Linked DNA regions of Diceros bicornis minor. The protein of the gene in region 1 interacts with the protein of each later gene in a biochemical or structural test. Links are inferred from orthologs where the notes say so. Each region holds a gene or a part of one and is shown on either strand. Other genes may lie near its edges. The genes, in order: HTT, HAP1, PACSIN1 and HIP1.

What was found.
Region 2: the proteins of HTT (region 1) and HAP1 form a complex in vitro, tested with the Homo sapiens proteins (4 studies listed by BioGRID). The link is inferred for Diceros bicornis minor from reciprocal best matches to the Homo sapiens genes HTT and HAP1.
Region 3: the proteins of HTT (region 1) and PACSIN1 form a complex in vitro, tested with the Homo sapiens proteins (2 studies listed by BioGRID and IntAct). The link is inferred for Diceros bicornis minor from reciprocal best matches to the Homo sapiens genes HTT and PACSIN1.
Region 4: the proteins of HTT (region 1) and HIP1 form a complex in vitro, tested with the Homo sapiens proteins (2 studies listed by BioGRID). The link is inferred for Diceros bicornis minor from reciprocal best matches to the Homo sapiens genes HTT and HIP1.

Annotation. Positions count from the first base shown.
Region 1 is NC_080747.1:2,405,891-2,413,832, forward strand, and holds the start of HTT (huntingtin), read left to right. Parts: upstream 1-4,927; 5' UTR 4,928-5,051; coding exon 5,052-5,266; intron 5,267-7,942.
Region 2 is NC_080757.1:41,022,967-41,030,090, reverse strand, and holds the start of HAP1 (huntingtin-associated protein 1), read left to right. Parts: upstream 1-4,124; coding exon 4,125-4,602; intron 4,603-5,647; coding exon 5,648-5,727; intron 5,728-6,058; coding exon 6,059-6,247; intron 6,248-6,369; coding exon 6,370-6,560; intron 6,561-6,768; coding exon 6,769-6,874; intron 6,875-6,952; coding exon 6,953-7,019; intron 7,020-7,124. UniProt on the Homo sapiens protein: Originally identified as neuronal protein that specifically associates with HTT/huntingtin and the binding is enhanced by an expanded polyglutamine repeat within HTT possibly affecting HAP1 interaction properties.
Region 3 is NC_080753.1:30,148,442-30,156,298, reverse strand, and holds the start of PACSIN1 (protein kinase C and casein kinase substrate in neurons protein 1), read left to right. Parts: upstream 1-4,846; 5' UTR 4,847-4,985; intron 4,986-7,857. UniProt on the Homo sapiens protein: Plays a role in the reorganization of the microtubule cytoskeleton via its interaction with MAPT; this decreases microtubule stability and inhibits MAPT-induced microtubule polymerization.
Region 4 is NC_080765.1:3,064,025-3,070,943, reverse strand, and holds the start of HIP1 (huntingtin-interacting protein 1), read left to right. Parts: upstream 1-3,907; 5' UTR 3,908-3,942; coding exon 3,943-4,062; intron 4,063-6,919. UniProt on the Homo sapiens protein: Plays a role in clathrin-mediated endocytosis and trafficking. Involved in regulating AMPA receptor trafficking in the central nervous system in an NMDA-dependent manner. Regulates presynaptic nerve terminal activity.

The DNA.
Region 1 (7,942 bases):
AATTTTCAAATACAATGTCCAGTATACAGTTGAAGATAACCAGGCACATGAGATGAGGCAATATGAATGAGAATTGGCAGAAACTTCAGACATGAGAAACATATCCTCAGAGACTCTAGATAATGGAAATATATGAAAAACGGACTCTTAAACAACTATGTTTATTATGTTCAGGGAGAAAACTTGTAAAGCCTGATAATTTTGGCAGGGAACTACAAAATATAAAAAATGACACAGCATACTTTAGAAAGAGTTAAGTATAAATTCTTGTAGTGAAAACTACAAAATTTCAGGGCTTAATGGTTAAACAAGAGTTTAACAACAGTTGAATCAGCCAAAAAGAGAACTAGTAAAATAAGTCAGATGAAACAATCCAGAATAAAGCACTGAGAGGCAAAAAAAAAGGAAAATAGAAGATAGGATATGGTGAGAATATCTAATCTAGGTTTATCTGGAACACTAGGAAGAGAGAGGGTGAGTGGGACAGCAGCACTGTTGTGAGATAATGACTGAGAGGTTTCCAAAACATGAAAGCCATCAATCCACAAATTCAAAACCCAATTAATTCCAAGCAGATTAAATGAAAAGAAATCCTACTGTTAAACCAAGCCAGGAAACCCTGAACCACTCACGGTACAGGCATGAACTGGAGTTAACGAGAAGCTTAGAGGCAGAGGGTCATCAGAAGCAGCACTTGTCTCCCAAGCTCCCATCACCCCATGGAGAGTTGTGTTAGCTCCAGGCCCAGCTGGTCACACCACAGGCAGTACCCAGGAGAGGGACCTTGCTCCCTGTCACTCTGTGCATTTACAGCGGGACTGGAAGGGGACAGGTAGCACCTGGCCAATGTGCAGCAATGGTAGATTTGAGGCTGTGTGGAATGGCTCTGCTTGTGAAAAGAACATCCTGATGGCAGACGTCTGTCACCAGGGAAACGTGGTCCAGAACTTCCAGGACTGCTGTCTGCCAGCCCTTTGAGCCCTTCCTGCTGGGCAGCCTGCTGCTAGATCACTGAACAGGATCCCCAAGGTCATCCTCTGAAAAGCTGATTGGTCTCTCTCTACACACCCAGACATGGCACAGTGGAACTCCAGTCAGCCAAAGACAAAGGGAAAATCTTAAAAGCAGCCAGAGGAAAAAAAAGACACATTGCCTTCAAACAAAGGAGCAACCATTAAATCAACAAGTGACTTCTCAACCGCAGGAATGAAAAGCGGAGGACAGTGATGTCCAGATCTTTACTCTGCTGACAGCAAGCATCTGCCAACCTAGAATTCTACACCCAACTGAAAATCCAGTAAGAATGAAGGCAAAATAAAGACATTTTTATTTTATTTTGTAAGGAAGATTGGCCCTGAGCTAACACCTGCCAATCCTCCTTGTTTTGCTGAAGAAGACCGGCCCTGGGCTAACATCCGTGCCCATCTTCCTCTACTTTATATGGGACACTGCCACAGCACAGCTTGACAAGCAGTGCGTCGGTGCGTGCCCAGGATCCAAACTGGCGAACCCTGGGCCGCTGCAGTGGAGCGCGCGCACTTAGCCGCTTGTGCCACCCAAGACATTTTTAGATAAACTGAAACTGAGAGATTTCAGCAACAGAAGATCCAATAAAAAGAAATTCTAAAGGGTGTTTTCCAGGCAGAAGAAAATGATCCTAGGTGGAAAATCAGAGATGTAGGAAAGAATGAAGAGTAATAAAAATGGTAAATATGGGAGTCAATTTAAACTTTGTTCAAAACAACAATTACTATCTTTTGCAATATGTGTATTTATGTAGAACTACAATACGTGGCAATAATACCCTCTAAATTGGGAGGAACCCTCAGGGATGACCGGCAGGGGACCACCAAATCCCCCTCAGGAGCTGCCTGTCCACTCATCTTGTTCCCTGGCTCTGCTTCACGTTCCCTTCTTTCCCCTGCCCGGGCCTCACCTGCTGTGGACTCCCACCTGGTTTTGGATTCAGGGCAGTGCCAGCCCCCTAGCTGGAGTGTACCCCGTTTGTGGGGGGGCATCAGGCTGCTTTAAATATCTCCCTCTCGTCCTGAGCAGGACCACTCACAAGTCTATTGCTAGGCCTTCATTTTTAGCTCCCCACCCAAACCTTTTCTACAATATTTTTCCCCCTGAATAGTACATGTTCATTGCTGAAGACTTGAAAATGACAGATAAGCACACAGATTAAGATATAAATTCCCTGTAATTGCCCTGCCCAGAGACAGTCCCTGTTATAGACCTGGTGACAGGTCTCTTTTCTATGTATATGTGTGGTTTTCTTTCTTTAAAATAAAAGAGGGGGATCATGGTATACACAGTGTCATCTCTAATGCACTGCCCACCGTTCCCGTGTCGTGACTGCTCTTCAAAATAGGATTTTAATGACTGCACAGTTTTCTGTCATGTGGATATGTCATTATTCATTTAGCCATCTCTTTCCTTCCGTCCAGCATTTATGTTGTTCCCATTTTTTGTCCTACATGTTGCTGTGATGAATGACCACCCTCACACACACATGATTGTCTTCCTAGGGTAAGTTACTGGAAGTGTCTTTGCTGTTCAGGGACTGTGCCCATTTCTACGGCTTTGGAGAAACCAGGCCAAACTGCCCACCCAGCTGTGTAAATCTTTACTCTGTTTTGGATTATGCTAAGCTTTTCTCTGAATTTAAAAATCTGCCTTCTTGACAGTCCCTTTTCTATAAGGCTTTCTTATAAGACTTCTCATCAGGATTATTCCAGGCCCATGACTTTCTTCCTGCCATGGCTGAAGCAGCCATGACCTATTGTGGTCATATAAATTCTCAAGGATTCATAACCTCTTTGGACTGGTCAGAACTTGATTTAGGAGCATACAAACAGAATAATCCAAAGTAACAGTGGCTTAAACAACATAGAATTATATTTCTCTCTCACAGATTTTCATCTGTGAGAAGTTCAGAGGCAGACAGGCCAGGCTGGAATGGCATCTCCCCCCAGTCATCTGGGCCCTGGCTCCTTCCAGCTCCATTATCCTAGGATGTGGCTTACATCCTCATGACCCAAAATGACTGCTCGAGTGCCAACCTCTACATCCCCATTCCAGGCAGCAGGAAGAAGACAGTGTCTCTCTTCCGTTATAAGGAGACTTTTAGAACTAACACACATCATTTCTGCTTACCTCTCATCAGCAAGAACTTAGAAGCAGGCCACCAGGGACAGCCCACAGTCAGGGGGAGGGGACTACACAAGGTGTGAGAACCGGGAGGGGCAGTCTTAGCAGTCTGTGGACCCCAGCACCCGACAGCCTGGAGCCTGGCCATCACCATTGCGGCCTGCCCTGCACGAGGGCTGGCACACGGCCTGGCCCCAGGCAGAAGGGCCTTTATTAACGACAGGGCACTGGGACCTCAAGGCTGAAGGCAAGTTTCTCTGCAGTCCTTCCCCTGAAGTGGGGCTGTTGCCATCCTCCTGGGGACAACGCTTCTTGTGGGGATGCTGGGTTTCCGTTTACCTGACCGCTTTGGGACAACCGACAGGCTCTGAGAGAAGGCAGAGATGTGGCTTCTGGCATAGGACAGGGTGCAGCCCTGAGCAGGCTCTGGAGGGTCCATCACTACCCGCATCACCTCTCCCCAAGGCGGCTCTCTCCGAAGCCAACGCACTCTCTGCCCTGCAAGTGGGACAGCTGCCCCGGAGGCCCCCACCATCCTCTGTGCCCCTCTGCTTGCTCACTTACTTCCCCCCAGGTGGTGAGGCTCTGGAGACTGGACCCTCTCACTACCGGCCTGCCCTCCCATCCCCCGAGGCAGGAGATGCCCACAGAACTTTGTGGATCAGGGGTCCTCTCCCTTGCAGGGGAGACTCTTGGTCGGGGAGTCATTCTGGTGGGGGACGTCTCTGGGGTCAAAGCCGCTTCTCACTGCACAGCCACAGCCTCTCCGGGCACGGCGCCCGCCCCTCTCCTCCCCTCCCCCTCGGGCTGCAGACTGCGGGAGGTGCTGGCCCCCGGCCTCCACGGCCCCTCCTCTCTGGGGGCTACACGTGGGCTCCCGCCCCGAAGGACCAATCCCGCAGGTCTCCGCCAACCGTAGGGTCCTCTGGTTCTGTGCAGGGCGCACTCGCTTCCCCCTTCCTCCTCGCAAGGGGAGCCCGACCCGCTCCCCGCAGGGCTGTCCCGGTGAGGCCCTCTCTCGGCCCGGCCACTGGGTGGGCAGGCGCCCCCCGCGGGGGTCTCCAGGCTCCAGGCCCACGGCCGGCCCTCCCTGCGACCCCGGGCGTCGGCCGGGGCTCCTGCCGAGGGGGGCGCTTCTTTCGAGGGGTGCTCCTTCCCGAGGAGGGGGCACCTTCCCCACCGCGCCTCGACCCTCACCCCCTCAGCGTCGCGCCTGTTGCCTGTAGCTTCCCTCCCTCTTCATTCTCAAGCCGCCTGGCCCCCCACCTCCCAGCAGCGTCTGCTTCCCAGCCGCTCACCGCCGGGCCCCGCCCCCACCGCCGGGCCCCGCCCCTCACAGGGCCCCCCCCCGCCCCGCCCCTTACCGCCGCGCCCCGCCCCCACCGCCGGGCTCCGCCCCTCCCCTTACCGCCGTGCCCCGCCCCCACCGCCGTGCCCCGCCCCTCACAGCAGGGCGCCGCCCCTCACCGCCGGGCCCCTCCCCCACCACCGGGCTCCGCCCCGCCCCCACCGCCGGGCTCCGCCCCGCCCCGCCCCTCACAGCAGGGCCCCGCCCCCGCCGCCGGGCCCCGCCGCGCGCCGTGCTCTCGCCAGGGAGGAACGCTGTGATTTCAGCGTCCGCGGCGGCTTCGGGAGGCGGGCCGGCGCCGCGTCCGGCCATTGGTGGAGGCTGCCGCCTCTGGCTGTCAATCCCGCCGGTCCGGCCTGGCCCCGCCCCGCCGGCGAGTCGTCGCGGGACGCACGACAGCGGGTGCTGCCGGGACGGGTCCAAGATGGCCGAGCGCTTGGGTTCCTCCCCTGCTTGCGGCCCTGGGTCTCATTCATTGCCGCGCTGCTGAGCGGCGCCGTCAGCGGGCCCGTGGGCTCCGGAGGCTGTCCCCGTGGGGCGGGAGGCCGCCATGGCAACCCTGGAGAAGTTGATGAAGGCCTTCGAGTCCCTCAAGTCCTTCCAGCAGCAGCAGCAGCAGCAGCAGCAGCATACCCCGCCGCCTCAGCCCCCTCAGCCGCCGCCGCAGGCGCAGCCGCCGCCGCCTCAGCCGCCGCCGCCTCAGCCGCAGCCGCCGCCGCTGCCGCCGCCCGTCCCAGCCGCGGCCGAGGAGCCGCTGCACCGACCGTGAGTGCGGGCCCCTGCACTCCCCACCCGGCGACCGCCGGGGACAGCGGCGGCCCTGCAGACCCGGCCCCGCGGCGACACGGCCACCCCGCGGCCCCGAGCGCAGGGAGGGCACACGCTGGGCACGCCCCTCCCGCTGCGAGAGCCGGTCCCGTGTCCCTCCCCGGCGCCTCGCGGGTCTCGTTCCTTCTCGGGCAGGCACTGCCTCGCTGGCCCTCCTGACGCCACCGAGGCGGTCTCGGCCCCTGTCCTCTGCCTTCCCCGGCAGGCGAAGTTGGGGAAGGAACATGCTGCTTTATGTTTGCAAGAAACTGGGGCTGTGTTGTGAGCAGAAGTTGGAAGAGCCGAGAGCGCGTCTCGTTTGGCTTCCTCTGGGCCTCTTCCTTTCCCTCTCTTAGTTGAGAGGGAGGAGGGCTGGGGGCGCAGGACGCTTCGCGAGGAGCCAGGAATTGGAGCTGGAGTGATGTGGGGATAGTGCATGACATCATGGCTTTAGGACGTGGGGCTGGGAGGGCGGGGGCGTGCGGACGCGGCCCAATGGAGATTCTTTTTCCAGGGGCCCTTTAAACAGCCTGTGACATTCGCAAGACATTTCATTTAGTTCGGGAATGCCAGTGGTAGCAACAGGATTTTAAGCATCGGGAAGAGACCCGCTTGTCTAAGCTCAAGCTGGTATGCGAGCACTTGAATGAGTTGTGGTTGCCAAGTGCATAAGTGGTGAGCTACTTAGACGGTTATTATTAACAAGTGAGAAATAATAAAATTGACTTAGATATTAGGAAGAGTTGACTGAAGTTTTTTGCCTATTTTCAGTTGGAAATAAAAACGACCCATGGCTGAGGGGGAGGTTAATTGCTGGAGGGTGAAGGATGTGCATTTCACCAGTGCAGTACTGTAGTCCAGCTTGCTGGAACGTGGGTGTCTGCAGACCCCGGGGACGTCTGTTTCCTTCGTTGCTGACATTCTGGCATTGTTTGGAAGCTAGGGGTCTCTGTGGCTTGTGCCTGGGAGAATTTTTGAAACAGAAGAAACCATGAATAGCACCTTCTAACAGGACCCAAGTACTTTTCCCTGAAGTCTTGGTGTGCTGAGTGTTCAGCAGAGATTAGGCCTTTCTCTCATCTCAGGGCATTTTATTTCTGATCTGGGGATGTACAAGATGGCATTTAATGAGGATAGTTTTCAAGAAGCAACCCCTTTAAGAAACTCACTCTATTAAAACTGATTCATTTTTAGTAATGTTTTCTTGTTCTTTGTGTTTCTGATACGATCTTTGCTGTGTCCTGAGAGTTTAATTAAAAAATGAGAATTTGAGGAGTAATGTTGGCTTATCTGTTGGAGTAAAATTCAGAAATAAATTAATTTTTCTTGTAAGAGGAAAAACCTGTTTGGATACGTAGAGGTTTTTTTTTTTTTAGGAATTGGACTTATCTTTACAGCAGGTAATTTATAATCATAACCCATTCCAGACTTTTATTGTACTGCGTCTGCAGGAGGTGGATGTCATGGAAGTTCACACATTGCATGGATTTTGTGTAGATTACACGGGGAAGCACTAAGCAGGGCTCTGTGGGAAGGAAGAGCTAACTGTTGTCACTGGTGGCTTGTTCAAACACTTGGTCAATCTAAAAATATGCCTTCTGTTTCTTATGCTGATTTGAGAGAACCTGAATTTGCTCATCTTCAAAATATGGGTATAAAGAAGTTTCTTTCTAAAGCCAGCTTGACAAAGTAGATTGATTTTGTTTCTTTACTTTAGTTTATGGTAATGTATGATGGACTTATTTTAAAAATTTAATCTATTATTTTTGCATAAGTAATACATTAACATGATACAAATTCCAAAATTACAAAAAGGTAATAATTAAAATCTCTCTCCCCCACTCCTTTCTCCTGAGTACCTAACTCTGTTCCCAGAGGCAAGCACTGTTATACTTCCCCCTTTTGTCTCCTTCTGGATATAATCTGTGCATAAGTGAAGATAGATTTTAAATTATTTAAAAACAAAAGTATTTCAGAATAGTAACTTTTAAAAGTTCTTAGCATGCTCTGAAATAAACTGCATTAGGCTTAATTATAGTGACTTTAAATAAAATACACAAATATATTTTTATGTACTTTGCTGTTGAGAAAATAGATATTCATTAATTTTGAGTAACAAACTCACTGCTTACATGTTTGGATCTTGGCATTTCTGTTCAGATGCTTCAGCTGAAAAATCCGTTCCCCAAAGTAAGATTGGCCAAAAGCAATTTAGATAGTATCTGTTCTATTTTTATGGCTCTTGCTCTCTGTTGTGTGAAAGTGTAGTGTTATAGCCATGTGTGGGCTTCAGCTGAAGTATCTGAGTGCCTGCTCTCGGCTCAGCATATAGAGTGCAGGGCTTCTGGTGGGACTGGCATGCAGGGGAGTGCCAGAGCTTGGGAGGGTCCTAACTGTGATTATGAGTCAGTTGACATTTGTCTTTGGCACTTTCTCATTCTCCTTCAGATTCCGACCTAGTTTTCCCCTGACTTTAGTTATTCACTCGTCAGTAAATATTTGTTGAACATCTAATATGTGCAGGCTCTGCCCTCGTGAAGCTTTCATTTTAGTGAGGGACATAGACAACAAACAAGATAGATACCAGTATGTTAGATGGTGGTAAATGAAGGAGGAACAGCAAAGCAGGGAATG
Region 2 (7,124 bases), on another chromosome or scaffold:
TCTGAAATTAGATAGTGGTGATGGTTGCACAACTCTGTGAATATACCAAAAACCACTGACTGGACACTTTAAAATCATGAATTTTATGGTATGTGAATTATATCTCAATAAAGTTGTTAATTTTTTTTTAATAATTTTATTTATTTATTTTTTCCCCCAAAGCCCCAGTAGATAGTTGTATGTCATAGGTGCACATCCTTCTAGTTGCTGTATGTGGGACGCGGCCTCAGCATGGCCGGAGAAGCGGTACGTCGGTGTGCCCCCGGGATCTGAACCCAGGCCACCAGCAGAGGAGGGCGCACACTTAACCGCTAAGCCACCGGGCCGGCCCAAAGTTGTTAATTTTTTAATAATTTTTTCTTTTTGTGAGGAAGACCAGCCCTCAGCTAACATCCATGCCAATCCTCCTCTTTTTGCTGAGGAAGACTGGCCCTGAGCTAACATCTATAGCCAATCTTCCTCCTTTTTTTTTTCCCTTTTTCTCCCCAAAGCCCCAGTAGATAGCTGTATGTCATAGTTGCACATCCTTCTAGTTGCTGTATGTGGGACGCGGCCTCAGCATGGCGGGACAAGTGGTGCGTCAGCGCGCGCCTGGGATCCGAACCTGGGCCGCCAGTAGCAGAGCGCGCGCACTTAACCGCTAAGCCACGGGGCCGGCCCAATTTTTCAAAAAGACTTATAAGGTTGTTATGGACTAAATGTTTGTGTCCCCCCACCCCACCCCAAATCATATGCTGAAATCCTAATCCCCAGTGTGATGGTATTAGGACGTGGGGCCTTGGGGAGGTGATTAGGTCATGAGGGTGGAGCCTCATGAACGGGAATTGTGGCCATATAAAAGAGGCCCCCGAGAGCTCCCTCACCCCTTCCTCCACGTGAGGACACAAGGGGAAGACAAGACAACAGTCTATGAACCAGGAAGCAGGTCCTCACCAGACACCCAATCTGCTGGCATCTTGATCTTGGACTTCCAGCCTCCAGAGCTGTGAGAAATAAATTTCTGTTGTTGGTATTTTGTTATAGCAGTCTGAAGGGACTAAGACACCCCCCCTCCATCTGTCTATTCTCAGCCGAACAGCCAGAGCCTTCCTGCTAAAACTTAAGTCAGATCGTGTCGCTCCTGTGATGAAAAGCCCTCCACGGACTCAGGTAAGGTGGTCCATCGGCCCTGCTGCCCCCTTCCTGACCCCATCACCCACAATCCCGTCTCCTTGTTCCATTTTAGCCATTTTGACCTCCTCTGGCTGCAAGGCTGTGCATTTGCTGTTGCTTCTCACCAGGTGAATATCCTCCCTTGCTCCCTCCCTCCCTCAGCTCTGGACTTAGTGACTCTTCAGTGAGATCTTTCCTGACCCCCCTAATATTTAAACTTGCAACCCACAGCCCACCCCCCACCCCCAGGCCCTCCTCCCTGCTTTCTTTTAATCCACAGCACTCGTCACATCTAATACACTATGTGATTTACTCCTTTGTTTATTATTTGTAGCTCCCATTGCATGTGGGCCCTATGAGGCCAAAGATCTTTGTTTTGCTCACTGATGTGTTCCCAGCACCTGCCACAATGCCTGGCACCAGGTGCTTAATAACTGTTTGTTGAATGAATAATTATTGGAAGATAATTTAGGGGGCCGAGAAGAGTTGAGATGAAAGAAGAAATGAAGCTAACAAATATTAAAGTTGCTAAAGATTAGAACCATAAAAAAGGGCAGCATGTGAAAAGCATAGAGAGCAGCTGTGGATCTTAGACGTCCCATCTGTTTATCCAAGGCCTCTGGCCTGAGCCACCCTTAACCACCTGGCAGAAGTGCCCTGGAGCCTGTATGGGAGGAGGAGCAGAAGAGGGAGCAGGGGTCAGGGTGGGCAAGGGTTGGGAGGAGTTTGAGTTCCCCAGGGGAGCCACTTCCTTATTTCCCTGCCCATGAGGGGGCTGCATTTGGAGCCCTGACTTCAGAAACCACGTAACTAGTGAGCACTGCCCCTTTGATAGAGAGGTGAATCCCTGCAGGGCTGATGCAGGTGTGAGGGATTTAGGGCTGGGGAGGCGAATTGGTACCAGGGTTCGCTCACCAATCAGGAATGAGAAACGCTGGCTCCTGAGGAGAGAGGCTGCCATTTGAGGGGGGCAGGGATGAGTGGGCTGCGAAGACCGAAGACCGGGGGTGTGGGCTGAGATGCAAAATCCTATGCCATTAGTGATTTCTCCCCTCCCACCCAGAGCACCGGGTCTGATGGGTACTTTCCATTTTTCTCAACGGTAGCTCCCTGTTTGCTTCTCTCAGAGAACGCACCACACTCTGTAATTATCTTGTTTCCTTGTTTATCTGCTTCCCCTTCTAGGCTCTAACCTCCAGGACAGTAGGGGTCTGGTTCTCTTGTTTCCTGCTCTGGCCTGCGAGTCTAGGACAGTGCCTGGTATAGAGAGGAGGCACTTAATATACGTTTGTCAAATGAATTAACGAGCTCAGACAGACGGAAACATTCTTCTCCAAGTGCTTCTCCATAGGAGAGCTGGTGGAGGGGGCACTTTGATTCTCCTTCCTGGGTTGTGTCTCTTGTTCTGTGCTGTCACGGACACCTGGCCCCAAAGGCATGCTGTCAGCACTAGGACCCTCTGTCCTAGGTGCAGACCTTGGGCAACAGCCTGTCCTGGGCTCAGGCTTGGAGTGGTGGCTGTGGAGAAGGGGTCCTGGAATTCCTTAGCTCAGACAGGAGTATGAGAGGGATGGACTAGAGATGGATTCACGTGGGTGGGGTTGGGGGGAGAGGTGAGTATCACAATAATCTAGAAGAGAGGATGAGGCCTCACCAGCAGAAGGGCTGAAGAGGCAAGGGCACATTTGAGAAATATTTAGGAGGTAAATTAAGCATGACTTGGTGAGTGATTGGGTATTGAAGAGAAGGAAACTGGGGGACCGAGAATGATCCCAAGGCTTTAAAAGACTCAGAGCCACAGCCATCTCTTTTTGGCCTGTAGGTTCCTCCAGTCCAAAGGCACAGAAATGGCTACTGGACTCCTCTGCCAGCCCACAGGTCATGCAGGACTTACGGCGACCCTCGTAGGTATCTGGTCTGTGCTGCGCTCCGATGGACACGCTCCCTGCGGTGAAGGGTGGCAGTCTGCTCTTGGAGACAAACACACTCCGACCACTGCCGGCCAGCGAATAAGGAATGCTCTGGCGCGTGGGAGACGGGGTCAGAGGAGTCTTCTCAGGGAGACATCTAAGCGGGGTCTGCCGGAAGAACACGTGTTCCCCAGGATGGAAGGAAGTGGGCAAAGTGAATGAGGGCTGGAGGTGAAGCAGGAGGAAAGGCAGTAAGACAAATAAATAAGAAAGGGGGCTGTCGGGGCGGCCCCGTGGCATAGCGGTCAAGTTTGCGCGCTCCGCTTTGGCGGCCGGGGGTTCGCAGGCCCTGAACCCGGCGCCGACCCACGCACCGCTCATTAAGCCATGTTGTGGCAGCATCCCATATAAAGTAGAGGAAGATGGGCATGGATGTTAGCTCACGGCCAATCTTCCTCACAAAAAAAAAAAGGGGGGGGGGACTGCCCAGTGGCTCCAGCGCGCGGGGGTGGGGGTGGGGGTGGGGGTGGGGGTCGGTGTCAGGCTGAGCGCGAGGATCAGCTTGTGACGCGCCAGGCCAGGCAGCGCGTGGAAACCGAACAGGAGTTTGGATTGATCCCTCAGCCAAGGGGAAAGACACAATACTGTCCTAACTCACAGGTCACCCCGGCCCAGACCCAGAGAAGGCAGTCAAAAACCCCTGCAAGGGAGCAGAGGGAGAGGGTGCCCCCAGTTAGGGACCTCCGAGTCGCTGTACCCGAATCCCGGAGAAGCGGCTTTGGGCAAAACCATTCTCCGGAGGTGGAGAGGGGAGGAAAAGCCCTACACTCGGAACCCAAGCCCACGGAACCAGCTGGAACCTTCACTGGCCTCTTCTCCTCGCTCTTCTCTTGTTTTTACCCTCTGCTCTGCCACCATTAGCTGCCCTCCTGCGCTACCCCCCGTCCCGGGCACCACTAGTTGCTCCTCGGCCGCCCCTCCCGCGCGTGGTAAGGCCCGGCGGGCGCGCGCTCCCGGCACAGGTTATAAAGGCCCGGCTGCGGCAGCCGACTGCGGAGCAAGATGCGCCCGAAAGACTGTGGGCAGAGCTGCGCTGGGGACCGGCCGGGCCCAGGACCCGGGGATCCGGCAGCAGCCACCCCCGCACTGCCACCCGCAGCCAGTCCCGCTCCTGAGCCCTCCGCCGAGCCTGAAGCCGCTCCTGCGCACGCAGCGGCGGCTGGACAAGGAGCAGGATCTGGATCCCCATCCGTCTCGGGACCCCCAGCCGGAGTTCGCTTGGCCTCCGAGGCTGGATCGGAGGCAGGATCCCAGCGCGCATCTGCATTCTCGGCCGTCCAGGGGAATGCCCAGTCCGTGCCCGGCGACTCGGATGTGCCATGGACCCACTTCATATTTCAAGGGCCCTTTGGTCCCCGGGCCACTGGCCTGGGCACTGGAAAGGCGGCGGACATCTGGAAGACGCCAGCTGCCTACATTGGCCGGCGGCCGGGGGTGTCGGGCCCCGAGCGTGCCGCCTTTATTCGGGAGCTAGAGGAAGGTAAACCGAGTCCTCTGGACCCCGAAGCGAGTGGGACTAGGGCAGCTCCAGGGAGGAGGGGGCCCCGTCGGGTCCAGGTGCCCCGCTCCCCCGACACTCAGTCCCACCCCTCCACCCGCCCTCGCCGTGTCACTGTCTGCGGTGCCAGTCCGGTCGCCTCTTCCCCATCTCCTCTTCCCTTCTCTCGCTCCCTGATTTCTGTGGGTGGGTCAGGTGCCCGGGCCCGCGCGCTCCCTCGGCCCGCTCTGCGCGCCTGTTGCTGCGGTAGATCTGAGCACTCTCAGGGCCCCCCTCCTCAGTCTACCGCAGTGCCAGGAGCGGGGCGGGGGGCTGCGGGAGGGCGCTGCCCGGCGCGCTCTGAGCCTGCGCTGGCCCACCGCGCCCGCGATGGGGAGGTGTGTGGGAGGAGGGGGGGGGTTGCCAGCCTATTGGAGGCGGGGGTCAAGGTCGGCTTTTCCCCAGCCTGGGGTTGGGCGGGGCCTCAGGCGGAGTCTGCCCCTCCTCTTCCCTCCCATCCTCTTCTGGGAGATCTCTGGATTGGGTCTAGAGGCTCAGGTGCCCCTATTCCAGTGCTGGAGAAGTCTCTAACTCCTCTCCTCCCCACATGCAACAGGTGCAGGGTGGGAGACTGCGTCTGTGTTTATGATCCGTGAGGCTCCGATGAGCTGGCCAAGCTGCCCTCTGGGTAGCTGGTGATGAGTCAGTCTGTGGTACTTCCGCCAGCCACCTCCATTCTCCTGGGTTCCACGGACCCAGGCGTCCTGAGAGCGCAGTTCCGCCTGAGCCTGGAGGACTGTGATCTCCTTACCTCACCCAGCTCCTCCAGAAAAAAAATGAGTCCAGTTGGCCCTGGGAGCAGGGAAGGGAGTGCTGAGTACTAGGGGTATGGAGAGGATATTGGGGGCAGGAAGGGAACTCAGTCTTCTCCTCCCCTGTTGCTGACTCTCACTGTTGAGGGAGAACTGGGGATAGGGCAGGAAACAGTGGGGTACTGGTTAGTGTATGCCCCCTTTCTCCTGACCTGGCTGCCTGCTTTCTCTTGCAGTGCTGTGTCCTGACCGACCCCCGCCAGGCAAGAAGATCAGCCAAGAAGATGTGCAAGTGATGTTAAATCTGCTCGAGGAGGTCTGTACTGCCTGGCCTACCTGGACCAGCCTGAGCTTTCGCCAGGCCCCTGTTTTAATTCTGTCCTGTAGGAGTAGGAGTCTTGTCTGTTTCCTGCCTGGCTGCCTCTTTGGGGGCCCCTCTTACAGAAGGCAGGTCGATGTGGGATGTCCAGGCTGGAAGAGCTCTTAGAGCCCTCTGGTCTGATCTGTTCTTTTTTCATAAGGGGAAACTGAGTCAGGCCCCACAGTGGGTTAACGGCGGACTCTTGTCTAGTACCCTGGAGAGCTGCGAGATGGTGAGGGTTCCCCCTAGTGGCCTAGCTTCCCTCTGACGCCTGTGTACTCCCTAGCTTCTCCCACCTGTCTGGGAGATCTCAGAAACCAGGAAAGTATTCCCTGTGGATGGGGGGGTCCCTCTGCAGAGAGAGCGGGACCTGAATACGGCAGCTCGCATCGGCCAGTCCCTGGTGAAGCAGAACAATGTTCTGATGGAGGAGAACAGCAAGCTGGAAGCCATGCTGGGCTCAGCCAGGGAGGAGGTAACTGGGTAGGGAGTAGGGGGTAGGGGTATGCCATCTCAGACCTACCTACATCCCCCTCCTGCCAGGACCCGTGCCTGCCCCGCCCGCGGCCTGACCTGGGGCTCCTCTCCCCCTGCCAGATTTTACACCTCAGACACCAGGTGAGCTTGCGGGATGACCTCCTTCAGCTCTACTCAGACTCTGATGATGAGGAGGAAGAGGAGGAGGAGGAGGAGGAAGAAGAAGAAGAGGAGGAAGAGGAAGAGGAGGAGGAAGAGGAGGAGGAAGAGGAAGAGCAGCAGAGTGATCTTCCTTATGAAGACCCCGAGCTGTGAGTGCCCTGCCTTTGCACCTGAGCGGCCCCTTCTCTGAGCCTCAGTTTCCTTGTTTGCAAATAGGGACACAGACAGCGTCCCTGCCAGCAGGATTGCTGGGGCTGGTTGAGACCACCATGCTCAGCCCGGGTGGGGGAGCCCTGGGTGCACCGGGCCCTGGGGCTCCCAGTCCTGCCCTCTGACTCCCATCGCTCTCTCCCCTAGGACACCTCTGACGGAGTCGGAGTCGCTGCACCACTGCCCACAGCTGGAAGCCCTGCAGGAGCAGCTGAGGCTGCTGGAGGAGGAGAATGACCAGCTGAGAGAGGAGGTGAGGATGGGGGAGGAGGGTGCGCCCGCGGGCAGGGGGTGTTGACTCCCCTGCCCCTTCCTCTCTCCCTTCCTCCAGGCCTCTCAGCTCGATGCCCTTGAGGAGGAGGAGCAGATGCTCATTCTGGATTGTGTGGAGCAGTTTTGTACGTGAAATTGTAACTTGGGGTGGGGGCTGTCCCAGGGAGCAGAGGGAAGAACTCAGGTCTTGGAGACCTGAGTTCAAGTCCAGTCCCACCTCTGGCACTTCC
Region 3 (7,857 bases), on another chromosome or scaffold:
GGTGAACTCTGCCCACGACCATGTCTTCAGTATGAAAGATTATTATTAGTGAACCACACTTCTCTATTGCTCAAGACACAGGAATTAAAAACCAAACCAAAACACAAAATCTCTGTGGGATGTTGAACTCGACCCTCGCCATTGTCTCAGATGTTCTGCCTGCATTTAAGGTACAGCGCCACTAGGTGGCAATGGTGTCCAGGCCACTGAGGCCTTTCCAGAGCAGACACTCTAAGGACAACCTCAAATGTCCTCCCTTTTTGTACTTTGAGAGGCGTCACCAAAGGACCCACTGAGCCTCAGTTTCCTCATCTGTAAAATGGGGGTAATGGTACTAAATGAGATCATGTAAAATCCTCCTGTGCACAGTACGACTCTCAGTAAACACGTGCTTCTTTCCTAGCTGAGTGATCAAGAGCATGCCTTTCAGACCCAGACTGCTTGGTTTTGAATCCCAGCTCCACTACTTACCAGCTGTGTGACCTTGGGCAAGTTACCTAACCTCTCTGGGCCTTAGTTTCCCTGTCTTAAACAGGACTAGTAGTCGTACCTAGCCCCATAGCTTATATGTGTAAAGTGCTTAGAAAGTGCCTGGTCCAAGAAAAGTGCTCTGGGTTTGCCATTGTCTGTGTATGTCCTGGGGTGACCCGTCTTTTGAGCATAGTCTGGGTCCTAACTCAGCACCTCCCAAGATTGAGGGCCTTGTCAGGATGATATGTCCTCAGGGTGTTTTTAACCCCCTTGGCATGAGTCACGGACAGAGAAAGCCACAATTCCCAGACTCGGAGCACCCAGGTCTCTGGATTCAGGGCACAGCTGGCAACAGCCTCTGTCCACTAGGCAGGCGACGGAGACCAGTTTGCAAGTGTGACGCCAGCAGGTGGGAAGAGGAGAGAGCAGAAGGGGCTGCGAGGCTGTTTTTAAAGTACCTTTGTCTCTTGGGGGTGTCCTACTCACCTCTGTGCATGCTGCTGGGGGGCAGCTCAGAAAACAAAATGCCATGGGGCCCCTGGGCCAATCGCTTCCCTGCTCATCCTTCCCCACCTCGGGGCAGGTTTGCGGGGGAAGTAGAGGAGTCTAGTGACCACAGCACCTGACCAGAAGTCAGGAGATCCGTTTTTAGCCCAGCTCTGTCACCAACGCACTGTGTGACCTTGAACGAGTCACTTTTCCTCTCTGGGCTTCAGAGTCCTGCTTTGCCCAAATCAGGACACACTCCCTGCCCTTCCTTTCCAACCAGAGATGTGGTGAGAATAGAGAAGCCTCAAAACCTCACCTCCTCCTTGAAGCCTTCCATATCAGATGGAACAAAAGGGAATCCAAAGCTTCCCTTCCTCCCTCCACCTCTTCCAGGCTAAACATGAGATATTAATCACCAATCCGCTATTTGATCATTGATTGATTGATTCCACGTGCTCCTTCAGGGCTGGGCTGTCCTCCTGTCTACATGTCCTTTCTGTCCTGTCTGCATAGGACAGAAGGGGAGGGCTGTGTCTGCCTCCTTGCTCTGCGTGACACGGAGAGTCCAGCAGAGGAGGCTTCCGATCGAAGGATGGCTTGGGACTCTCGGTGGGAAGGAAGGTGCCGTGGAATCCCAGATGGGTCAGAACTTAATGGTACTGAGAAAAGCGAGTTGTTGGAGATAAGAGATGTGAAAAGTGCTGGGCAAATGGGAGAAAGTCTTATTGTCTGGACGGGGCACAAAACAATAAGGGGGGTATTTAGCTTTGATAGACATAAGTTTTGAAATCAGAAAATCTAGATGGAAGCTAGTTTAGTTTTAGGAAGCATGGAAGTTCTGTGTCAATTTCCATAATAACATATGACATATTTTTTGGATTACACATGGGCAGGGATGTGAGGGGGGATGTGTTTGCGTGTGTGTGTATTTTCCACTCTCTTTTTTTTTCAGGGCTTGGGTCTGGTAAGGCCTTAATTCAATGCCAGGCATACCTCAGCTTCGAATGGAGTAAGTCCAGCTTTCTGCTCCCTCACCCCCTCTCCCCACCACCCTGCCCCCTCACCATCATCTGCCTCAACGGGTCTGCCCCTCTCCTGCCCTCCCCACAGCTGCCCCAAGCGGTCCCAGCTTCTGTGACCCTCCAGCCTCTCTTAGCCCTCCGCATTATGAGCCCATCCCCTGTACGCCTGTACCCTTCCCACTCTTGCCATCCTCCACCAAGGCCTGGCTGCCAAGGGACACCTAGTGTCCTATGTCAGTCATTGTCTTGTGATCTGGACTTCACTGCCTTTCCAAAATTTACCAGTCCCGGGCTCCAATCCATCTACATCACAGCCCCTGATGACACATTGAGCCAGGCTAATGTACTGCGGCGGGGGGTGGTGCAGATATTTTAGTCTATCCATCCTAGATTGCACTTTAAGAGCCTCTTGGGGAATTAGCCTCTTCACATTAAGAAAATTCTGTCTAATGGGAATTTCACAGCGCTGTGGTAGACCAAAAGGGGAGAGATTGGGGGTGCATGTAGTTAATGAGAATAATAGATACTATTTACTGCACACCTATTAGGTTCCAGGCACCATGCTAGGGGCCTTGCATCCTTTGTCTGATTCCAAGAACCCTAGGAGGCAAGCGTAATTATCACCATAAATACAATAAATACAACAAAATGAACTGGGTACTTATGTGCTAAGCAGTTCACCTGGGTTGTCTTGTGTAACACTCACACAGCCTGTGAGGTACGTGCTGTTGCCATTCCATTTTCCAAATGCACAGATCGATTAAGGAACTTGTCACACAATTATTAAGATAAGGAGGCTGAACCTCAGAGGGGGTAAGTAACATACCCACTTTTACCCAGCAAACAAGCAACTGCGTGAAGTCGATGTTTTTCCTCCCGTATGCCCATCACTTCTCCTCCTGGGGCAATGCGAAATTCCAGGTTGAGGTGAGGGCAGCTGGCACCAGCAACTTCCGGGGTGGGGAAAGAGGGGGACACCAATTCGACAGCTCGACACCAGCATGCCCCTTACATGGAGGGTGTCCAGAAATGCTCCAGGACCCCAGTCCCAGCCACCTGCCAAACGTCCCCTGGCTTTGCTGGCCTCTCCCAGTAATCCTTCCCTGCCTCCTGCCCCATCTGGCTCATCAGAACCCCAGCTAGGGCCGGCCCTGTTGCTTGACGGTTGAGTGCACGCACTCCGCTGCTGGCGGCCCGGGTTCAGATCCCGGGCGCGCACCAACGCACCGCTTTTCCGGCCGTGCTGGGGCTGCGTCCCACGTACAGCAACTAGAAGGATGTGCAGCTATGACATACAACTATCTACTGGGGCTTTGGGGGAAAAAATAAATAAATAAAATTGAAAAAAAAATTAAAAAAAAAAAAAGAACCCCAGCTATTGTTCAGCATCCCCATCAGAATGATGCCTCCTCCAGGAAGCCTTCCCGGATGACCCTAACCCAGAGCCCTCTGACCTTCTCTGGAACACTGACCACTCGCTTGGCTGTCCTGTTCATCCTTGGGGTAGATACTGTCATCTGGCCTCCCCAACTAGGTGTCGAGTTCCTCTGGGCTCTAACACCTAGTATGCAGTCAGTGTTCGGCAAATGCTTATTGAGTGAATAAATGCTGCACTTGGGCATTCTCTTGGGTCACTGGGACCATGAATTTCAGTGCCTCCGGTGAGGGAGGAGGGAGAGGGAGGGCAGGAAATATAAACGTGTGACCAGCCTAGGTGCCAACAATAGGGAGTGGTGAGGTCTGTGGCCGGCTAGTCTGCACATCTACCTGAGGGGCTTACCATCAAATTCAGCCACCCTCACTCCCCACAAATAGCTGGGACCTAATCTCGCCCTGACCACCCTCACTTTCTTGTCTTTTTTCTACCTTTATTTTCCCACTCTGTGCAGACCACTTTAAAATATCCTCTCTATGTTATTTATTATATTTAACATCTGCGTTCTCTCACCAACGTGAACTAGGTGAGGGCAGAGACTTGGTCTGTTTTGTACTCTGCTGTAGCCCAGCCCCTCCCCAGTGCCGGCACATAGTAGGCCCTCAACAGACGAGTGTTGAACAAATCATCAGCTCCTGGCAGGTTTCTGCAGTGAAGAGACTGGCCTACTCCCCCCTGCAGGGTACAGGCTCCCAGAAGCGCTCAGGGTTCAAGGCGGGAAGAGTGAAGGCCGTGGGGAGTCACAACAAGCCCCCCAGAGAGCCTCAAGGAGATGGCCTGGAGTCTGTCTTGGTGACAGCAGGTCCAGCTGGAACTAGGGCAGGAGGGTTAGTGAATGCCCCCATGGGGTCAATCGGGCACTTCTGGACGAAGCTAATGGGGGGGGCTAGGCGGGGGGTGGTAGTGGTGGAGAGGGACCGTCACTCCAGAGCACGCCCACACACACGCAACCGCACGGACCCGAAGATGCAGGATTAGGAGAGGCCAGAAAGCGACTGACGGACAGACAAGGCCGGAGGAATGTCCAAGAAGGCGGCGAGAGGGCAGAGAGGGGAGGGGAGCGGCACCCCCGGGTCCACAGCGCGCTGCAGGAGGGCTGGGGAGGAGGGCGCAGGGCAGGTGATTCTGCACCCGCCCGCCGCAGAGCCCCTCTGCCCTCCGGGAGCACCTCCCAGAGGAGGGCGCGGGCCTGGGAGCTGGGGGAGCGCCCCCTCCGCCCCGCACCCCCGCCCGGCGCCTGCCAAGCGGGTTGCTGCCTCCTCAGCCGCCGCGGCGCGTCCACCTGCGCAGACACGCGCCTCCCTGCGCCCGCTGCCATTGGCTGGCTAAAAATGCCTCTCTAATCTGCGCGCATCTGTGCACGCCTCCTTCCTCCTCCTCTCCCCCTCCTCCCCGGCTCTGACCTTCCTCCTTCCCGCAGCCCCGGCGCGAGCCGGAGAGACGCGGTGGCGGCGGCCGCTGCACAGCCTCCTCTGCCCGCGGGAAGTCGTCCGGGCTTGAGGCCGGGCCCCAGACGCCCCGCTTTGCCCCGTGGCGCCGCCGATGGTGCCGGGCGCTCCTGCCCCCAGGTAGGGGGTCTGGCCCTGGATAGAAGGCGGGGAGGAAGGGGTCCAGTTAGGGAGTGCGTGTTCGCGGTGGGCGCAGAGGCTGACATCTTCCCTGCCGGAGCGTCGGGGTTGTGGGGGAGATTGGACAGTTACCTGGAGAGAGGTGAGCGCGCCAGGGCATGCTCAGCCTCTGGGTCCTCATAGCGAGTTCTGAGCAAATCTCATGACTCCTTCGTGTGGAGGTGCAAACCCAGGCCCGAGGTGCTTTGCAAGCGCCGGGGTTCTCGGGCATCACCCGGGCTGTGCCAGGATGCCCCTGCTCTGGGCCCTTGGGAGAGGGAGCTGGCGGCGGAGGCTTTTACCCTGGGGAAAACGCAGGAAATAGGTTCCTTGGGAAGCTGGGACCCAGGACCTGGGGGTCCGAGTCTCTGGCCTGGGGTGTTCCGGTAGCAGCAGGGCGGGTGGGCTGGCGCCAGCTTGGTGCGTAGGCTATTTATGGATCAGAGTGGGCTGGGGAGAAACCCAGCAGCTGATGCGCTCTGTCCCCTGTCTGGTTTACAATTAAAGATATTTCTTCTGTTCCTCTACCCCTTCCCCCACAGCTGGGATGGGAGCGGTGAGAGGAGAAGGAGGTGACGCTACGCGGCCCCCAGACACAGCAGAAGCCGTGGTCTGTCTGGCATTGCCCTCCTCTCTACCCCCCAGGCCCCTCGCTGCCTGTTGGAGCTATCTCTCTCCCTTATTTCTCCCTTGCAGGAGGCGGTGAAAAGCTTAAAAGGTCATCAGGGTGTGAGCGACACAGTGGCAAACCCCAGGGCTTGGCCAGACTCAGCTTCAAGCCCCAGCTCCTCCCACCCCCCACCCTGCTCTGCACCCCACGTGCAGTGACACATGTGGCCGCTTTTCTCTGGGCACAACCATAAATAACCCACATTGCCCTGGCTCTGGCACAGCGGGGTGCAAACAGAACTGTCTGTCAATGATTTGGGAGGTTCTGTCCCTTACCTGCTTGGCCTTCCCATCACATCACTGGTCCAAATCATCACTCACAAGCCACCCCCTCCAGGCAGCTTCCCTGATAGCCCAGGTGAGATCCTTGCCTCCTGCCCTGCCTTCTCCCACCTAGTCTGCCTGTGGTTTGGTTATTTATGTCTTGTCTGTCGCCCTCTAGACCTGAAGTGCCTTCAGGGTAGGAATCTGTCTGATTCATCTCTGCCATTGACCCTGCACCTGACCAGGGTCTGGCACCAAGTAAATGTTTGCGGAATGAGTGAATGAATGAACTTGAACTGTGGGAAATAGCTGGCAACCTGAAGGATGGGGCTGAGCCCCCTCTTGGGCTTTTCTTCCGCACCCCAAGACCAAAGAGCCACCAAAAACAGTCCCATTTAGGCCCTTCCTGGACCTGGAACTCACGGGCACCTGTGGCATTTGGAGGTAAACGCCGCAGTCCCGATGGCTCCACACCGTCTTTTTGGGCCCCTGGTCTGAGTGCCCTGGCCTGGTCCAGGCTTGGCGGAAGGCCCCAGGTGAAGCTGTGGCTTTCCTCAGGCCTCTGGGTTGGCGCTTTCTCCCTGGCTCAGCTCAGATCAGGGGTCTCTGTCTCTGTGCAGACCTTGGGGAAGTGCAGGTCAGCCTCAGGGAGTCTGGGAAGGCCTGAGCCAGGGCATGCTCAGCCTCTGGGTCCTCATAGCGAGTTCTGAGCAAATCACATGACTCCGTGTGGAGGTGCAAACCCAGGCCAGAAGAGGCTGCCACCGCAGGTCCTGGGTCTGTGCCAGATGTGGACATTTGCAGAGCTCTCTCCCAGCCCGAGCTGATAGGACATCTGCAAGATGCTCTTGTCCTCGTCTTACAGAGAGCCAGGGCGGCACTCAGTTCCTGGCTCCAGGTCCAGCGCTCCAGGTCCAGCTCGAGGGTGCTACGGCTGGGCCACAGACCCAGGTCAGAGTGCCTGGTTGTCCTAGAACCCAGCGGTCCCTCCTCTCTGGCTCTGGCCTCGCCCCTAGTGCTGGAGAGACTCAGGGATAAGGGAGAGGTGCCTCAGGGGTGGAGGGAGGCGGGTGGGGGAGGCTTTAGTTAGTGCCTGCAGGTAGTTGGCCCTGGGGGCCTTGAGGGCAGGGAGCAGTCCTGACAGTACAAGCTAACAGTCCGCAGCAGTTGTCATGTGCCAGCTCCTGTTCCCACTATTTTTCATGTATTAACTCATTCAGTCCTCACAGTAGCCCAGTGAGGTATGTACTGTTATTGCACCCACTTTATAAATGAGGAGTCCGAGGCACAGAGAGGTTATCTATCCAAGGTCACACAGTTTGGAAGCGGAGGGGCTAGGATTTGAACCCAGGCTCCAGAGTCCATGTTCTTAACCTGTATTCCCTATCGCAAGAGCAAGAGGGCTATCGACCTAGCTGCTGGGGGCTTGCTGTCTCCGTGGAGATTGAGGCTTCAGGTACTCTGTGCTAAAGTTCCTGCACGGTAGTATGTGCGTGATTAAGTGTGACTGTGACCGGTAGTATGTGCGTGATTAAGTGTGACTGTGACCGTTGTGGATGCTCAGAATAATAACACCCATATCAATGGGTATCCTTGAGCAGGAGAGTGGTCTTTATAAGATGCACATCTGAGTCTGTCACTCTCCTGCTCTGCATCCTTCAATGGCTCCCCCTTGCCCTGAGGACAAAGTGCAGTCTCCCTAAAGTGTCCCTGCCGCTGTCCCCAAGCCTGGGCTTCCTCTCCCTTCTCACCCGCCCTCTGCCCTCCAGCTGCTCTGAACTGCTTTCAGTTCCTCCAATAAGTTATGCTTCTGACACCTGCAGGCCTTTGCATAGGCTGTTCGCCTGCCTAGAACACTCTCCCCCCTCTTCCCTACACGTTCCTTTTCACCCTCAGGGGT
Region 4 (6,919 bases), on another chromosome or scaffold:
CTTCTAGAAGAAAATGTAGGCAGTATACTCTTTGACATTGGTCTCAGCAGCATATTTTTGAAACCACATCTACTCAGGCAAGGGAAACAAAGGAAAAAATAAACAAATAGGACTACATCAGACTAAAAAGCTTCTGCAAGACAAAGGAAACCATGAACAAAATGAAAAGACAACCCACCAACTGGGAGAAAATATTTACAAATCATATATCCGACAAGGGGTTAATTTCCAAAATATATAAAGAACTCATACAACTCAACTACAACAACAACAAAACAACCTGATCAAAAAACGGGCAGAGGATATGAACAGACATTTTTCCAAAGAAGATACACAGATGGCCAATAGGCACGTGAAAAGATGTTCAACATCACTAATTATTAGGGAAATGCAAATCAAAACTACAATGAGATAACACCTCATACCCAACAGAATGGCTATAACTAACAAGACAAGAAATAACAAACATTGGAGAGGGTGTGGAGAAAAGAGAACCCTCATACACTGCTGGTGGGAATGCAAACTGGTGCTGCCACTATGGAAAACAGTATGGAGATTTCTCAAAAAGTTAAAAATAGAAATACCATATGATCCAGGTATCCCACTACTGGGTATTTATTCAAAGAACATGAAATCAACAATACAAAGAGATCCATGCAGCTCTATGTTCATTGCAGTGTTATTCACAACAGCCAAGATGTGGAAGCAACCCAAGTGCCTATCAACTGTTAAATGGATACAGAAGATGTGGTATATATATACAATGGAATACTACTCAGCCATAAAAAAAGACCAAACGGTCTCATTTGCAACAACATGGATGGACCATGAGGGTATTATGTTAAGTGAAATAAGCCAGGCAGAGAAAGACAAATACCATATGATTTCAATCATATGTGGAAGATAAACACATGGATAAAGAGAACAGATTAGTGGTTACCAGAGGGGAAGAGGGTAGGGTGGTGGGCAAAAGGGGTAAAGGGGCACACATGTATGGTGACAGATAAAAACTAGACTCTTGGTGGTGAGCACGATGCAGTCTATACAGAGACTGATATATAATAATGTACACCTGAAATTACACAATGTTATAAACCAATATGACCTCAATAGAATAATTTTAAAAAATGTATACCTGGCATAATCTAAATACAAGTCCTTTTTTGGATGAATGTTTTGGAAATATCTTTCCCAGTCTGTGCCTTCCTTTTCATTTTCATAGCATTCTTTCGAAGAGCAAAGAGAAGTCCTATTTATTGATTTTTCCCTCTTTTATACTTCATGCTTTGGGTGTTGTATTTGAGAAACCTTTCCCAAACCCAAGGTCACTAAGATTTTCTCTTATAAGTTTTATAGTATTAGTTTTTACACTTTGGTCTATGATCCATTTTCAGTTAGTTTTTGTATATGGTGTGAGGAAAAGATTGAGGTTCTTTTTTTTTTTTGGCACATGAATATCCAATTGTTCTAGCACCATTTGCTGAAAAGATTATCTTTCTTCCATTGCATTGCCTGCACCTTTGTGGAAAATCACTTGACTATATATCTGTGGGTCTGTCTCTGTGGGTTTCCCAGAGATCAGGATTCCACGTCTGAAAACCGGGCATCCTGAGAAGGCATAAGACAAATGGTCCCTAAATTGCTGGGAGAGATGTAAGAGCTGAAAGAAGCTAGCAGAGTCCTGTAGTTTACATCCTGGAGGAGGGTTTCTCTCAACCCTTGGCAAAGGGTTTTGCTGCTGCAGCAAGTGAGAAATCCTTATTTTTCTTTATTGCTGAGTTTCACAGAGGTAACTAGCTTGAGTCTTTCTCCACAGGGTGTCTCCAAACCACAAATTCCTGATTCCTACTGGGGTTTATTCTAATAAGGAGTAGGCTGATCCCTTAATCCCTGTTTAAAGGGCCCCTGTTTATTGCAGCTATAAACTCTGGGCAAAGGATCATAAATCACTCTTTAGTTGGGTCCAGAGCATGAGGTGGGGGCAGGACTAAGAATGGGCACACAGAGGTAATATTATGATGAACCCTGTCTGTTTTCCCTGTAGGTATAGTCCTGTGAGCTCCTGGGCTGGGAACTTCCAAGGGCTGCTCCAGATCCAGCCTCCACTCGGCTCTGTGCCTGGAAGGAGGGGTGGGGGTAGTACTAACGGATCGTCCTTGCCCTCCTTCCCCCTGGGTTCGGCCAATGGGAGGCACTAGTAGGAAATCAGAGGACGGGAGGGATAGAGAGAGATTGGGCTCTTCCAGTGACTGGGTTTCTACCTAAAGCCACGGCTCTTGTCGGGTGCCTCCTCTCCCAAGACTAGAGCTCGCACCTGGTTCCGGTAAGCGCCCTCCCCGTGTCCCTTCAGGGCTAGGGCTGGTAACAGCTTCCCACTGTTCTATCCCCGGGTGCTTCACCCTCCCTGGCTGATCCCCTTATTCCAGGTTACAATTTTGCACATAGTTCCTTTCTCAATTCAATTAGCCCTTCCAGGGTGCAATCCCTCCCCCGCTGCTGCTCCGACTCATACAACATCACAGCCCCTAAACACCCCGAAACGCGGCCCTCAGTTCCAGTAATGGTGAAACCAGTGTGCTTGCTATGCAAATGAAGTCTCAAGGCAATTTCCCCTCCATCACATTGCCACCCTTCAATCCTTCCTCTCCAGAAGTTCCGGCCCCACCGCTGCCTCCTCCCTCCGCCTATTTCCCTTTGTCTGGGCCTCCTCACAGAACCGCCCACAGGAGGAAACTTTCTCCTCTCCATTCCGGGGTAGGCCCTCTCGGTCTCTCACGTACTGCTGGAGTCTCCCCGAAGAGTCCCTCCCTGCCCTTTCGCCCCGCAATGCCGTCCACACAATGCCAGCCCGGCAAAGCGCAGGTCTGTGCAAAAGCCTGCAGTAGCTCCGTAGCGCCTGCAAAGGCCCGCCCCCTCTTTCACTTCTGTGTTGAATGTGTGAACTTTTATAAAAAGCTCTTAGTTTAAATATTTTTAATGCCTTTCTTTGAGTTTCAAAGCATTTTTTTAACATGAAAATTTAATGGAAAACGTCTAACTTTCTTCAGCATCTCCGCTAGGGATCACACTTCCCTCCAGCTGACATCTGAGCAGGATGGGAGGGGTAGCCCGGAGCCGTGGATAAACAAAGTATCCACAGGGGTTTCCACCAACGAACACGTTCTGGCCGGGTCAAGATGATGTAGGGTTTGGAAAGAAGATGCCAGGAGGTTCCCACTGACCCGGCCCAGCGCTCCCGGGTGTGTGAGGATTACAAAGCGGATGGACAGGGACTCAGCGCAGGGTCAGGCTGAGGGAGGAGGCAGGTGAGCTGGGTAGGGGGCCGCCACCCACGGCGCCAGGTCGGGCAGACGCTGGCCCTTCCTACGGGAGCCGGGCCTGGGCGCAGCGCTTCCCGGGGCTCCGGCCGCCGAGCCGGTCCATCCCGCCCTCTCTCGTCCCCGACCCGAAAAGCGTAGACAGGCCATTCCCGGGCGGGTCCGGGTCCCCCGCGGGAGGCCCGACTCCGCGGCCAGCGTGACCCTCGCGCACCGCGCCGGGACCTCGCAGCGCCCCCGGCAGCAGCAGCGCGTGGCTCGCGGGGAAGCGCCGGGCGCGGGCGGGCGCGGTGGCAGGGGCGGCGAGGGCAGGTCAGGGCAGCCCTAGGCCCCACCCCCGCAGGGGGCCGCGGACCGGTGATGGACAGGCCTCCGGGCCGGTCGCTGCGCGCCTCGCGGTCCCGAGGGCCCAGCCGGGCGGAGCGCGCCGCGGGGCGGGGCGGGGCGGGGCGGGGGCGGGGGCGTCTCTGGGAGGGGCGGGGCCTAGGGAGAGTAGCGGCGCTCCCAGCCAATGGGAGGCAGGGGCCGTCCCGTTAGCGCCGGATCCCAGCGGGTGGGGCGGGCCGGGCGGCTCCGTGGGGATCCCGGGGCGGCCGAGGGCCGCGACTCGGATCCGCGCGGCGACATGGACCGGATGGCCAGTTCCATGAAGCAGGTGCCCAACCCCCTGCCCAAGGTGCTGAGTCGGCGCGGGGCGGGCGCGGGGGTGGAGGCGGCCGAACGGGAGAGCTTCGAGCGGACTCAGGTGAGGACCGGGGGACCGCGGGGCTTGCACGGCTAGGGCACCCCGAGAGATGCAGCGTCCGGGAGGGGCTTTGAAGGGAGTAAGGGTCTTGCAGGCCCAAGGGAGGACGGGGCAGGGGGGCCGAGAGAGGGAGCCTCTGGCGCGCAGGTCGAGGCGATCCCGGGAAGGTCGGGGACCCGGGCATCCCAGCTGGTCTGGGGAAAAGGGCAGGGCGGCCCCGAGGAACGGCACGATCCGGGCGGCCCGGCCCAGGGTGGCTGGTCCCGGCGGCACAGGGCAGGTGAGAGGGGAAGGCACCGAAAAGGGACCGAATGGAAGGGGAAGCGTACTGGGGGGCCGCTCGGAGACGCAAGTGTGGCGGCGGAGAGTGGGGCGCTGGTTTGGGGATGTGAAGGATGGGGAGCCCTTTTCTCCCCTCGCGATCGCTTCTCGGTTGCACTGGCATCCCCCCACCCCGAGCACCGCCTTCCCGGTGCCTCTTGCTTGGCACACAGCATCCCAGCTGTCGGCCTCCCCGGGCCGGGCCAAAGGGGTCTGAGCGGTGAGAAGGAATGTAGGAATGCGAAGTGTGGACGAGCTTGGAAAATGACTGGGGACTGGAGGAGGGGGCCGGCCAGGGGCAGGAATTGACGCGCTTGGCCCCACCGTCCGCCACTGGTCAGGACGGGCTGCCCAGAGGTGCCGGGAGCCCCAACTTGGGGTTTTGGTTTCATCCCCCAAGATATGCCTGACGGCTAATAGGCAGACTGCCCTGTTTGTCCAGCCAGGGCTGGGGGCCAAAATTCCTCAGTGTCATCAACAAAAAGCCACAATCCATTTTTACCTCAGAGTTTTAATGCCTGGTGTATTGATTTGACTGAATAAAGCTGACATGTTTCTGGTGTTCATCAGCTCTTTGTATGCAAAGTTCATTTTAAATGGCATAGCACTTCTCTTAATTCTAGTGCCCAGGTCATGGGGGCAGGCTCGTTCTCTGCTCTCGCTCTCAGAGTGGGACCTTTGGAGACCCTGCTGGGCCACCACTGCCAGCGCTGGTTCCCCTGCTGCGTTCTCCTTCTTCCCCCAAACACAGTACCACGTGAGGGAAGGGCTTTGGGGTTTTGGATAGGAAAGACTGTGAGGACCCGAGTGTTCTAAATATGGAGCTTACGGAGGATAAAGCTTTTCACCCCCAGGGAACTTCATCCTCTTCTTTCCAGGTGCCTGTGGCCCATCTGGTTACAAGGGTGTCTGGGTGATGTAAAGTGGGGAGTGTTCTCTCCCTGGATCATCCTACTCCAGGCAGGATGGGAGAGATGGCCTTTCACTTCTGCCTCCCAGGGTCCAGCTGGGTTTGAGGCTTATTCTCTGGCTTTGTGGCCTGGACCACTGAAAAGAAGGAAGCTTTCCTTCTGCCTGTCCACCACGGGTGTTACTGCCTCGACTAGCTGCCTGGTCACACGAGGCTTCTTGCTCCAGAAAACAGTGTGAATGTTCTTCTTTTTTTAATGGAAAAGAAAAATAAATAGGTGTTATTTTATAACCCATTCCTTCTAGAGTCTCAAATAAGTAAAAACTGGAGCAATAGAGAAATACACATAAAGCTTTGACCCATTGTAGTGATGGAAATTAGGTTTGTGACAGTTTCCACTCATGACTGGCATATCCCCTCACTATCCAGGGATAGCTGAACAAGGAGAGTCTAGGTCAGTGTTTTCCAGTGTTTTGCTTTCTGTGGGACACTTGTAATTGGCCAGATTTGATCTAGTGGCTTGTGTGTGGGGGGGGTGAGGAGGTAAACTGGATCAGGAAAAGACAGTGTTTCTATTGTTGACACTGTTAGAGGGTAGAAGAGTGAAGAAAAAGAAAAGAGAACCATCCTGAAACTTAGCTTTAGTCAACCTGCAAAAATTTAGTTTAATGACTATCTATCAAATGTATTATAAGATATAAAAATGAGTTAGAAAATTTTAATGAGGTAAGAGACCATGAGAGTCAGCCAAGGTAGAATGATAATTGTAACTAATTATTAGGTTTGGCACTGTTCTAATTACTTTATTGTTTTACCTTCTTTAATCTCCACAAGGACTGATGAGGTGGGTGTCAGCCACATTTTACTTTAAGAAACTAGAGGCACAGAGAGGTTAAGTGACTTGCCCAAGGTCACACAGCTGGAAGTGGTCCCAACCTTTAACCACTGTCTGTCTTGTGTTGCCTCTGAGTGTTGGGCAGAGCACTGGCATTGGAGTTGGAAGAGGTTGGTGAGTTTTACAGCTGGGCACGTGGATAGGCTGAGTAGCCTCAGGCAAATTGTCTAACCTTTTTTTTTTTTTATAATTTTATTTTATTTATGTTTTTCCCCCAAAGCCCCAGTAGATAGTTGTATGTCATAGTTGCACATCCTTCTAGTTGCTGTATGTGGGACGCGGCCTCAGCATGGCCGGAGAAGCGGTGCGTCGGTGCAGGCCCGGGAGCCCAACCCGGGCCGCCAGCAGCGGAGCGCATGCACTTACCCGCTAAGCCACAGGGGCCGGCCCTGTCTAACCTTTCTAAGCCTCAGTTTCCTTATTGTAAAATAAAGATAATACTCACCTGGCAGGTTTATTGTGGGAATTAAATAATAGACGTGAAGGCATTTTGTAAACTGTGGAGCACTATTTCAATGATGATTGCTGTAACGTGATTGGGGAGCTGAGACCTAAGAAGGCACAGGTGTGGGTAATCGTGCAGCCTCTGACTAACTCCAGTCAAGGGCCAGGAGTGTCCCTAGGTAACGGGATAATTACCAGGAGGTTGGAGCCCTCACCCCAGGACTGCGCCCCCCCCCCCTGAGGGCAACGTGTCTGGTTCTGGCGTGTGTGCCCCACACCTGAGGCTT